2 linked regions of the Caenorhabditis elegans genome follow. The protein of the gene in region 2 purifies or fractionates together with the protein of the main gene of each other region. This does not show direct contact. Each region holds a gene or a part of one and is shown on either strand. Other genes may lie near its edges.

Region 1 (7,633 bases), on a different chromosome or scaffold from region 2:
TTTTTTTTTTTAATTTTTATATTTTTTCGAAATTTTTTTTTCTAATTTGAATTTCTAATTCAATTTCAGCTCAAAAATCCAATTTTCATCGTTCTTTCGCCCTAACCTCCTCCACCACACTAGCATAGTGTAAATTCGCATCAACTGGCGGCGCGACGACGACATTTTCGGCTCCGGCGGTGTCGAATTTCATGGAATTCGCGGTGAAGCTCATCTTCCAGTAGGGTTCCACTTCTGAAATGCAGAAAAAATATCGATTTTTCTAGGAAAAATCGAAAAACTCAAAAATATTAAAGAAAAACCGGGTTCCAAGCCAATTTTCGCGAATTTTAAGTGAAAAATTCGAAATCTCCGCCCTGAAAAACCTAAATACTCCCACGGGGACTCGAACCCCGGACCTTTTGCTCCGAAGTCAAGCCTGTTAGCCACTGCGCCACCGGTGCGCCGAACCAGCGGCGCGTGATGCAACGCGTGGCGCAGTGGCTAAGCGGCTCGCCTTTGGAGCAAAAGGTCCGGGGTTCGATTCTCCGTGGGGGTGTATAGGTTTTTTATAGCGGAGAATTCGAATTTTTCACTTAAAATTGGGGAAAATTCACTTGGAAATAATTTTTCTCAAAATTTCACTGAATCCTTGCTGAGATTTCAACTCTTGGAGTCTCTATTTTAGAACTTTGAAGCTTAACATATATTAATAGTTCAAAAAAATGGATTTTGTATCATTTTCGAGCGAAAATTTCAGGAAACTAGGTTGTAACTCAATTTTTGCGAATTTTAAGTTAAAAATTCGAAATGTTCGCTATGAAAAACCTATACACCACTGCGGGGACTCGAACCCCGGGACCATTTGCTCCGAAGTCAAGCCTGTTAGCCACTGCGCCACGGGGTGCAACATGCATCACTGGTTAGCTGCAACGCGTGGCGCAGTGGCTAAGCGGCTCGCCTTTGGAGCAAAAGGTCCAGGGTTCGATTCCCCGTGGGGATATATAGGTTTTTTATAGCGGAGAATTCGAATTTTTCACCTAAAATTAGGGAAAATTCACTTGGAAATGACTTTTCCATGAAAGTTTCTCAAATTTTAAGCGAAAAATAGGTTTTCGGTAGTGGAAATTCAAAATTTCCCCCTAAAAATTCCGCGAAAATCACCATTTTTTTCAAAAATCTTCTCTGCAATAGTCTTGACACTTGTTTCTCCTTCTTGGGTACCCGTTGCATGCACCAGAACTGCAAAAAAAAAATCTTTATTTTTCTAGGAAAAAACGTGGGGGCTTACAGTGTCCTTTCGGAGCCGTACAGGCTTCAAAGCCCACTTCAACAAGCCGTGAGACTGCGGCGTCGGGCCGGAGAGATGCCAGATTGAGGAGGGTTAGCTGAAAATTTTTTCGGATTTTTAATACGAAATTCGAAATCCCCGCAAAATTTCACTCTAGAATTATTTTTTCCCAGGCTTCTAGCTCAATTTTGAAATTTTCGGGGTTACTGTAGCGCCAAAAGTACGCGATGCCCCCGTGGTGTTTGCGTACCTGACACCGAATTTTACGAAATTGAACCCAAATTGGCTTAAATTTCAGTTACGGGGTAAATTGGCAACGGGGAATTCGAATTTTGCATTGAAAATCAACTAGGAGCACTGGTTTCTCGAGTAAAATTAAATTTTTCTCGAAAACCAGTTGACCAAGGTGGTTTTCAATGCGAAATTCGAATTTCCCGTTGCCAATTCACCCCGGAACATGATTTTCAGCCAATTTAAGCTCAATTTCGTAAAATTCGGTCTCAGGTACGCAAGCACCGAGGTCAACGTACTTTTGGCGCTACAGTAACCCCAAAAATTGTAACATTGAGCTAGAAGCCCGGGGAAATTGAATTCTAGAGTGGAATTTTGCGGGAAAATCGAATTTCCTGGTGGAAAACTCCAAAAAATGCTCCGGAACCTGTTCTTTCTCGGCTTCTTTAATCGATTTATCCGTCGCATAGACGATTCTCTCGATTTTCAGCGTACTACTAGCTGGAACAGTTTCGGGGACAAATCTCGGGGACATCACGATGTAGCGACAATTTACACGATCTCCATTGGCAATTACAGCCGTAATTCTGGAAATTTTTGAGAAAATTGGTTTTCCGACAAATTGAAAATTTGGGCATAGCTTCCGCATCTCCGAGTGACAAATGTGCTCTATTGTCAAATTGTTGGCAGAAATACGGTATTTATTCACATTTTCAGCACAATTTAAGGCTGAAAATGTGAATAAAAACAGTTTTTATGCCATCAATCTGGGTAGAAACACATGAGTCACGGAATATTGTATAAAACTAGTTTTGCTGGGAATTTGACTTGAAAATTAGGTCAAATTTCGCAGAAACTATTGATTTTTCGCTTATTCTCTTCACTAACTTTCCATCTTTTTTCACGATAGCCTGTACAGGCCGTCCCAGACAATATAAGCTCCCAAAGACTGCTGCCAGCCGGCAAAAGCACTGTGAGAGCTCTCCACATCCGTAGAGTGGGAAGAGGAATGGCGATGGACCGAAATGGCCGACAGAATCCATGAACTGGCATGATGCCAACATTCCCTGGAATTTGGAAAAATTTTAAATTTTGAAAAAAATTTTTTTTTTTTTTTGAAAATTTGTTTTTCTCAAAATTTTTTTCAATTTCAAATTTGACATGAAAATCAACTCGAAATTCGAATTCTCCACATCACCAGCTTCCAAATGACACCCATCATGCCCATGATCCATCGATTTTGAAAATTTTGGGTCCCGCCACGAGGGGTACTGTAGCACCGGTTTCAGCTGTGTCGGAGCGCAAACTGCACGGAAAATGGGCATGATGGGGGTCATTGTAAAGCTGAAAGCGTTAGAGATTTGAATTTTTCAAAAATTTTTAGCAAAATAGACAAAATCAACATTTTTTCGAAAAAAAAAATAATTTTTTGCTCAAATTTTTTTCAATTATAAATTTCTTTTCAAATCGACTCAAAACTCGAATCCTCCACATCATCATCTTTCTAAAGACCCCCATACTGCCCGGGTTCCGATGATTTTGAAAATTCGGGTCTCGCCACGCGGGGTACTGTAGCACCGGTTTCAGCTGTGTCGAGACTGCCAAAACTCAAAATCAACGGACCCCGGGCATGTTGGGGGTCATTTTGAAGCTGAGAGTGGCGAGAATTCAAATTTTTCAATAATATTTTGAAAAAAATTGAAGTAAATTTCGTGCAAAAAAAAAAATTTTGGATTTTTTTTTCATTTTCAATTTTTTTAGAAATTCAGATTTTTTTCTAAAAAACAGTAATTTCCGCATATTCACCGTCATCGCAGTGGGTCTTTGCTGTAAAATGCCGATCGTATTAATAATAAAGCTCTGCAGGGTCTTTCCAACGCCCATTTGCTCCAAAAACTCTGAAAACGGGCGGTCGGCGTGCTCGGCGAGCAGTTTTCTGCCTTCTTCCGTGTCTTTTGTGCTCCATTGTGTGCAGAATGTGATGAATTTCATAAGAGCTCGCTTTTCCAGGATTCTGGAAGAATTTTTGGAGATTTATCATTGCGAATCGATTTTTTTGGCAAAGAAAATCGATATTTTATCGATTTTCAGCCTAAAAAAATCCCTTACGACAAAGCATTGCTCTGAAAAATCTCTCCTTTGCTACATGGCACCGGATTTAGGGTAATTCCGGCTTCTGGGGTCTCTGTTGGGCATAGCTGCCGGTTGACAAGCTTAAACTCGGCATAATGGGATACTTGGGAGTCACAGAGTGTTTGAACCTGAAAAAATTCAAAAAATTGGAAGAAAATCGTTTTTTTTTTCCAAATTTTTTTCAAGATTTTCAAAATTTTCCCATAAATTTTTGTCAAACTTTTCAATATCTGAAAATAATGCGGAAATTCGAATTTTTCGACGCTCTCAGCTTTCGAATGACCCCCAACATGCCCCGGCTCCGTTGATTTTGACTTTTGGAAGTTTTGACACAGCTGAAGCCGGTGCTACAGTAACCCGCGTGGCGAGACCCAAAAAAATCAAATTGCATGGAACCAGGGCATGATGGGGGTCATTTTGAAGCTGGTGATGTGAAGATCTCGGAAAAAATGTTAATTTTTGAATATTCTGAAAATTGACAATTTTTTGGAAAATATTTTTCAATTTTTTTAAATTTTCGATATTTCAGAAAACTAGCAAATAATTCGAATTCTCCACTTTATCAGCTTTCAAATGACCCCCAACATGTCCGTGGTCCGTTGATTTTGAATTTTGGCAGTCTCGACACAGCTGAAATCGATGCTACAGTAACCCGCGTGGCGAGACCCAAAATTTTCAAAGCGGTCGGAACCTGGGCATGTTGGGTGTCATTAGACAGCTGGTGGCGTAGAGAATTCGAATTTCAGAGTTTTAAATGAGGAAATTGAATTTTTAGAAAAATTTTTCTTTTTTTTCAGAAAAAAAGTTTCAAAAAAAATTTTTTTTTTGGCAAAAATTGATTTTTTGATGACTATTAGGGCAAAACATCAAGTTCTCCAATTTAGGTGTAATTTTGCAATTTTGTACCATTGCTCCCTTGGAAAGTAGAATTTTCGGCACTAAATCGATGGAAAATCGCCGCATTTGTGAAGCCTCTTCCAGTTGCGTTTTCATCGGCTTTTCCTCGTCTTTTCCACGTGGAATCCACGTCATTTCAATGTTTTCCACGATTTCTCGATTGCCGAGCTCAATGAGCTGCTCATTTTCAGTCAAAAGCTCTGATAACTTGGAAATCTCCGAGGAATCCAGCTTTTTTACCTGAAAATTCGGAAATTTTGGGGTTTTTCTGGCTGAAAATCAATAAAAACCTGATTTTCAGTCACTTCATGAACCATCGACATTGTGAATGATGACCAATCACCGCCGTAGTACTCATTTCTGCAAAAATATTTTTTATTTCGAATTTTTCAAGAAATCGAGTATGAAATTCGAATTCCAGACGTTATCAGCTTTCAAATGACCCCCAACACGCCTAGGTTCCGTGCATTTTGACAACCGACACAGCTGAAATCGGTGCTACAGTAACCCGCGTGGCGGGACCCAAAATTCTCAAAGTAGGCGGAATATGGGCATGATGGGGGTCATTTGAAAGCTGGTAACGTGAAGATTTCAGAAAGAATTCTGATTTTTTAAATTTCTGAAAATTGAAAAATGTTTTGGCAAATATATATTTTTTTTTCTTAAAATTTGTTTAATTTTCGATATTTCCGAAAACGAACAATTAATCTGATTTCTCAACGTTATTAGCTTTCAAATGAGCCCCAACACGCCTAGGTTCGGTGTATTTTGACAATCGACACAGCTGAAATCGGTGCTACAGTAACCCGTGACGGGACCCAAAAAAATCAAAATCAATGGAATATGGACATGGTGGGGGGTTATTTTAAAGCTAGTGACGTGGAGAACTCGAATATGATATCAGTTGGCTGACATTTTTCGAAAATTGGAAACTTTTGACGTTTTCCGAAAAATTTTCCACAAACTTGGTCAGAAAATTTTTACTTTCTGATTTTTCCCGAAAATTAATGTGATATTTGAATTCATCAGGTTCTCAGCTTCAAAATGACCCCCATCATGCCCAGAATCCGTTTATTTTGGGTCCCGCCGCGAAAAACTACAGTAACCCGAGGAGTTTTCGTGGCGGGACCCGAAAACTTCAAAACCAGCGGAATATAGGCAATTTGGGGATCAAATTGAAGCTGGCGACGTGGAGAATTCGAATTTTGCTGTATTTTTGAGGAAAAGTTATGATTAAAAAAAAAATTTAGCCGAAAATAATTTTTTTTTCGCAAAAATTTTTTTTTTTTCAATTTCATTCATTCATTTTTTTAAACTTTTTTTAAATGTTAGTTCGCCTATTACCTATCTAAATGAAGCACAGATAAGCCAGCTCGAGCACAAGCTGAAGCCAGAATGGCTTCAGGTAGTCCGGTGCCCAGCACCACTACGTCCACTGATTCTGGCAACTTTTCGTCCATTTTTTAGAGCTGGAAAAGCTGGAAATAGTTTGAATTTTTGGAAAATAAGAGATGTCATGCTTAAATTTGAAAAATTGAAAAAAACCAAAAAAAAAAAAAATTTTTTTGAAAATTTTCCAAAAAAAATTTTTTTTTCTATTAAAATATTTGATTTACGGCTGAAAACCTTTAAAAATTAACTAAAAAAAGTGGAAAAAACACGAAAAATCTTCATTTTCACACACACACACAAAACTTAACAAAAATGGCACGGGACGGGGGGAAGAGTTATAATATTTTTTTCAAATTTTCTGAATTTTTGCACAAAAAATAAACTTTAAAGGAAATGCTACACGTTGTGTCATTAAAATGTTAAAATTTACAACAAAAAATAAGGGGAATCTAGCAACAAAATAAATCAATTGTTTGGGAAAAAAATTGCGAAATTTCCAAAAAAAAAATTTTCTCAAAAAAATCAATAAAAATCCAGAAATTACATCCTTTCGTAGAGTCGATGAGGTTTGACACGTTCGTAGAATAGCATATAACTTTGACAGGCTGCCACGTGGGAGTACGGTACACGGGTTACCTGAAAAATTATACAAGTTTTCGGGGGAAAAATGAAAATTTGGGCATAGCTTCCGCATCTCCGAGTGACAAATGTGCTCTATTGTCAAATTGTTGGCAGAAATACGGTATTTATTCACATTTTCGGCCAATTTAAGACTGAAACTGTGAATAAATACAGTTTTTATGCCACCAATACGAGTAGAAGCACATGGGTCACGAGAAAATGTTTAGGAAGGGAATATTTAGGAAATTCTGTGAATTTTAATAATATGTCGTTTTTGTGACAAAGGCTCTTCGTTGACTGGAAATTCAAATTTTCTGAGAAAAATAAATTCGAGAAAATTCTGGAATGTTCCAAAACTTTCTAGAGAAATCGGGAAAATTCTGAAGTGTTCAATTTCGTGGAAAATTTCAGGAACCTGCAAATTTCTAGAACCTTTCGGAAAGTTCAAAAAAAAAAACTTCTTCAAGTTTTGATACTCCTAGAATATTCTGAAGTTTCAATAATTTGAAAAAAAAAGATCAAAATTGTTATAATTTCCAGAAACGCTCGCCAAAAACTCTCGGAAAGGACCGGAAAAAAGTTTTATATGATTTGAAAAACGTTTTTTTTTAGTTGTAAACACTCAGCTATATAATATTTATGTTGCTCGAAAACTTCCGGAAAACAGAAAAAAAACGTTCCATCTACAGAGAAAGGCTTAGAAATTTTAGAATTTGATTTCAATTTTGAGTACGCCAGTCGGAGCACGCGCTTCAGCGCGTTCGAACGGCTGGTATATATATATTAGGTCTCCAAATAAGTTCCGGGTCAAAAATCATAACTTTGTTCGCTGCGTATCGATTTTTATGAAACTTTGGGAATTTACGTTATCAACCATGATCTTTCACTTGACAATAGTCACGAAAGTTTTTGACCACCCCAAGTGTCCTAACGCGGAGCCAATTTTTTCAGGCATTTTTCTGATCTCGCTTCTTTTCAGTTTTCAATTGAGCTTTGTGTGCGGATTTTGCTTTGTTTAGATTATTAGAAAACAACAGAAGTTTGGAAAAAAATCCGCCCAAAAAAAAATTTTTTTGGTTGGTCGTCAAA
Region 2 (4,859 bases):
TCGCCGAGCAAGACGATTTGCTCCGTGTTCTGGAGGATTATTAATGAGCCATTTTCCTATGATGCTTATCATTGGTTCCGTTAATCGACATTCGAAAAGTCGTGATGATGATAAAACATTGATTGCATAGGAATCCATATGCTGAAGATTTCGATCAATAATAGTGAGCAATTGATGCAATGTTTCAGGTCTTTTTATAAGAATTTGTCCAATTGCTTCACCACCACATTTATACAAATCATCTCGAGTGTCTTCATCACAAAAGCAAACCTGCAAAAATGTAAAGTTTTTAGTTAAAAATGTTCAATCTCACATCAATAAGCTCTTTCAAAAGTTGCGAAACATCCGAATTTGAATAAGATCCAATTGAGGCCAATGAGTTGACAAGAAATTCTGAATCCTGAGCTCCAAGCGCACCTATTCGTTTTGAAATTCCTTCTGAAATTAATATGTTTATTATTTTGGTTTACTCTAAAGAAACTGACGACTACTAATCCTGGCGCGTACTTCACAAATTGGTGTATCATAAATCTCGTGAATAGACATTTTCTTATTCGATCTTAAAGCATATTCACATCGGCTTCTACATTCTTCGGAAACCACAGCATATGGTAACGACACCACAAATTGGAACAATCCAAGGGTGTCTTGATGAATCAAGTAATTTAGAGCTAGAAGTACAACTCGATCTACTTCTTTCTGAAGATGATGCTCTTCGCCTGGTCGAACTTGATCTCGAATAAGTCGCCAATTGGAGCAAAGTTCCCGAACGCTGTGCCTGAAAGAAAACACATTATCTAGGAGCCAAAGGATAACAAACTCACTTGAGACTTATTCCAATTTGCTTACAGAACATTTTATATCCGGGTTGAGAATAACTTGTCAAACCATTATCAAGAATCTTAAAAATTCAATGTTTCTATCATAAATTTAGATATTACTATACTTACTTTCATGAGCAAGAGCTGGAATGCAATCATAGCAGTAAATTGAGATCCTTTGTCAGAGTCTGAAAATTTGAAAATTTGAACGGTCTAAGTTTACAATTGCAACTTGAAACTTACATGAAGTGAAAGCAAGATAAGCAATTGAATAAAGCTCAGAAATCGGAAATTGATCAAGGAATGCAGTTAGATCTGATTCGTTGATTGTGACAAATGAAAACTCATTTGCTTCACCGTCATCGTCATCTGCAAGAATCTCCCAAGTTGACTCCTCTTTTTCAGATTGAGCAACATGGCGAAGGAAAGATTCTCGAGCTTTGATTGGGTTGAGGAGATGAGTGAGAAGTGCAACACAATAATCAAGCTTCAACTTTGGAGCAGATTGTGATTGAATGAAGGTTTGTACAAATGGAGAAGCCCATTGATCAATTGGAGATGGAAGACGTAAAAGGTGGCAAAGGAGGAATATACCGTCGTCGCATGATTGACGCATATTCAACACACATGTCTGAAACATTTTTTTACATAAACGTTACATTACGAACTTGAAATGATTTACCAATTCTTTGATCCATCCAACAAGTGTATCTATAAATCTTTTTGAAAGTCTTGGATACCGAAGATGATAGAATATGTCTGAAAGAGCAGTGCGAAGAGCAACTCTACCCGGTGTCATAGGTACACTGGCAATTACTGAAATACATTCATATTCAACTAGTAAGCTGTTGAAATAATAAACTCACAACTGGGTGGACAATTTGTAGACAACCCGTTTTCAGCCATGAAATTATTATTGATAATAATAACCTGCCATTGAATTTGTAGAGCAATTGATCTAAACGAAGTCTCTTCACAAACTGAATGATCCATCAGATTGCTTCGATTCGTAGAGAGAAGTTTCTTCATTTGATCCAGTACTGCCTGTTGCAGTTCAAAAGAAAAATACGATGCTCTACCTGTACCATCATTGTTGTCTCCACATTTTCCTTTTGCATCAACAGAAAGAGATTGTTGAACCCAACATTCTCGTAAACATTTTTGCAATTCTTCTGTATTCTCTTTTCCTTTCACTTCACTAACAGTCATTAGGTCACATACTGTTCTTAGTCTAGCTAAGAGTGGAAATAAAGATCCAGATTGAGTTGGTACTTCCTCAGTTTTAATAAACTGATCAACAAACATTTCGGCGTGCTCATAAAGGGGATTATGGTAGAATGTGACCAAGTTTTCTTCAGTCATTAAACCATGTTCATTCCGTTCGTAAGTTTTGATAGATGGATACATCGGAGGAGCTTCTCCCTCTCGTACACGCTCTCTCTCAACTGGTGCAGAAAATCGTGTTTTTTCCTACAAAAATAAAGAAAAATAATAAGGTTTCAGATTAAATACTTACTGGAATGGCAGTAGCTGAGTGTGAATGCTGAAGTCCTCCATTTATTGAAGGATACACTTGCGGATGTTGAAGCGCATCAGTATAGGATGGAAGTTCGGCTAGTTCGGGGACAGCTGGATATGAAGCAACTGCTACACTCCGTTTTGGTGCTACCGCTGTAGTTGATTCTTTTCTAGATTCAGCAACCATGCTGGTACTTCGTGGAAAGATCATACTTCTTGGAGGAATTGGTGGAGCTTCTCTTTCTTGAGAAACACGCTGAAAACAAATGATTCATATTTTGAGTTTTAGAATTTCAACTGACTGGTGGTGGAGGGGCTGGTCGAACTGGACTACTTCTCACATCTTTTAAAGGTTCAGATGCTTCTTCGCGTTTCAAGGAATCTTCGGTCAAGCTTATATCCCTGGAAACGTATACATATTTTTCAGTTCAATCGTTATTTTACCACTTACTGATCTTCAGGTTCCGGTGATGCTGATCTTTCTGGTAAATCCTCAATAGTATGTGATGGAGCCTGAAAATAAAATCAATATGAAACAAAAAGTTTAGTGGTATTGTTATTACCGCAGGGAGTCTCAAACCATTCACAATTGCAGGACGATCTGGTATTGGGGGTGTATAATCACTTTGTGCTCGCTCTCGATGTTTTGGCTTTTTTGGACGAACCAATTCCGCCATTTTGAAACTAAATTAATATATTTTATTAATTTTTCTTATAAAAAGAAATGCGACAAGTACAGTACGAAGTCAACAAATTAATTCAATAGTCGAGGATTTCAACTAGAAAATATAAAAAATCTGTATAGCAGGATAAATTGCTCTATTTCTGCATTTTTTAGTATGAGTCACGAAAAAAAGTGGTCTGACGGCAAATAAAAACCCGAATTGAACTGAACACAGCACGTGAAGAGGGAAAATGACGACAAATACGCAATGTCCGTCGTCGTGTTTGCGGACCAAACCATTTTTGTGAAATCGATCGGGAGCCCGAGCACTCTACCGATTGAGAACAGTTGATAACTATAGTATAGATTCGATGAGAACATTTATTATTTTGAAAAAGTTTTTACAAAATGTCCCATGATTTTTTTTTTAATATAACGACATTGACACTGAAAAACAAATAAATTTATAGTTAGAATGCTTCGAGAAGAGAAATGATAAGAAAACGATGTGCAAGCATTTTGCTATTTCAACGTCAATGTCTACATGATTTATAACAGGAACTTAGATTGAAAATGGATTTTATTTCGGAAACAATCGAAAGAAAAACATATTTTCTTTTTCATAGTTTTTTCCTTCTGGGAATGGTCTGCAACATACGTTATGTTTTCGTGAATAGTAGATTTGAAACAAACGAGATCTTATGAATTTCGAAATCTAGAAACAACATGGTTTACTTTTGTGAAAACCTAATAACATTTGAAGGCTATTTTTAATAATGCCTCTCACCTTTTGCCAATCTCTGAAATTAATGCTGAAATTAAAAATAAGGTTTATCATTAATATTTAAAAACTACGTGGAGCATTCCAATTTATATATTTTTGGATCATGTCACGGAGCAATATTTTTGTAGTTTCCAAAAGCAAATCCCTTTTTCCCAAATCGCAACTTTATTTTTTAATGTCCATTGGTTAGTTTTAGGAGTGTGAATGAATGTTTCAAATCTCTAAACGGTTTATCTACGAGAAAGTACACAAAACGTGAGAGAAACCAGACACTTTTGACAGGTAATTAATAGACAGTTAGTGTGAATTTCTACGATTGCCAAACCAATTTCTTCGTTCAATTCGCACACTCACACATGAGTTTATCGTTGATTTGTCCTTGCGCAATTGAAACATTTCCTCGCTTATCTGCCACATCATCCGGACATGAGATTAATGAGATTTTGAATCTGAATTGAACAGGATATCAATTCAAATGAGAGACGATCAATGAGCAAACCATTAGAAAGCGTTTAGTCTGAAGAAATTGGTTACTGTATTGTAGGTAAATGGTTTGGACTACAGTTGGATAACGTTTTACAGGAGATAAGTTTGACATGCTTCGTATCACATGAAGATAATATTTTGATAAAGATGTTTGTACATAATGATTTCAGAATTCAGAACAATTCTGGCAGAAATGCACGAAATGTTTGAAAGAAGAGCTCCAAGAATAGTCTTTCACATAGGCACAAAAACGACTCTAGTACCAGATTCAAGTGTCTTTTTACCTTCCTTGAGTCAAATTTGGAACGTGGGGCAACCTGACAGTTTCTGACAATTATATAAAAGGATTAAAAAACCTGAACTAGTTAATTTAAAATTTAAATAATATGAATAATTCTTCAAACACCGGAAGCTTGTTTAAATAATACATCCAGTTCTAATTTTGAAGCAATTTTGTAAAAATGGTAACTTTCATTTCAGCATGCTTCTCCCTTTTAATTTATGTTCATCAAAGACCCCATCCGAAGGAATTCATAAATTTTTATTTGTTCATCAAAAACCTGGCATCTACAATTCACGCTTTCTT

The links. Proteins that work in one complex are often made in the same cells at the same time.
Region 1: the proteins of epg-5 (region 2) and rep-1 fractionate together in Caenorhabditis elegans (co-fractionation; one large-scale study listed by BioGRID). This does not show direct contact.

The regions. Positions count from the first base shown.
Region 1 is NC_003281.10:1,568,682-1,576,314, reverse strand, and holds the start of rep-1 (Rab proteins geranylgeranyltransferase component A 1), read right to left. Parts: upstream 6,010-7,633; 5' UTR 5,992-6,009; coding exon 5,876-5,991; intron 4,892-5,875; coding exon 4,822-4,891; intron 4,772-4,821; coding exon 4,541-4,771; intron 3,763-4,540; coding exon 3,611-3,762; intron 3,516-3,610; coding exon 3,308-3,515; intron 2,569-3,307; coding exon 2,390-2,568; intron 2,089-2,389; coding exon 1,929-2,088; intron 1,368-1,928; coding exon 1,271-1,367; intron 1,222-1,270; coding exon 1,144-1,221; intron 983-1,143; exon of another isoform or gene 910-982; intron 886-909; exon of another isoform or gene 813-885; intron 541-812; exon of another isoform or gene 465-540; intron 444-464; exon of another isoform or gene 371-443; intron 235-370; coding exon 107-234; intron 1-106. Other genes in the region: Y67D2.2 (Ubiquitin carboxyl-terminal hydrolase), read right to left, coding at 6,464-6,559. UniProt on the Caenorhabditis elegans protein: Substrate-binding subunit of the Rab geranylgeranyltransferase (GGTase) complex. Binds unprenylated Rab proteins and presents the substrate peptide to the catalytic component B and remains bound to it after the geranylgeranyl transfer reaction.
Region 2 is NC_003280.10:6,606,341-6,611,199, forward strand, and holds the start of epg-5 (Ectopic P granules protein 5), read right to left. Parts: upstream 3,026-4,859; 5' UTR 3,017-3,025; coding exon 2,903-3,016; intron 2,853-2,902; coding exon 2,791-2,852; intron 2,742-2,790; coding exon 2,642-2,741; intron 2,596-2,641; coding exon 2,338-2,595; intron 2,292-2,337; coding exon 1,688-2,291; intron 1,638-1,687; coding exon 1,504-1,637; intron 1,453-1,503; coding exon 1,065-1,452; intron 1,010-1,064; coding exon 951-1,009; intron 902-950; coding exon 825-901; intron 779-824; coding exon 486-778; intron 439-485; coding exon 314-438; intron 271-313; coding exon 1-270.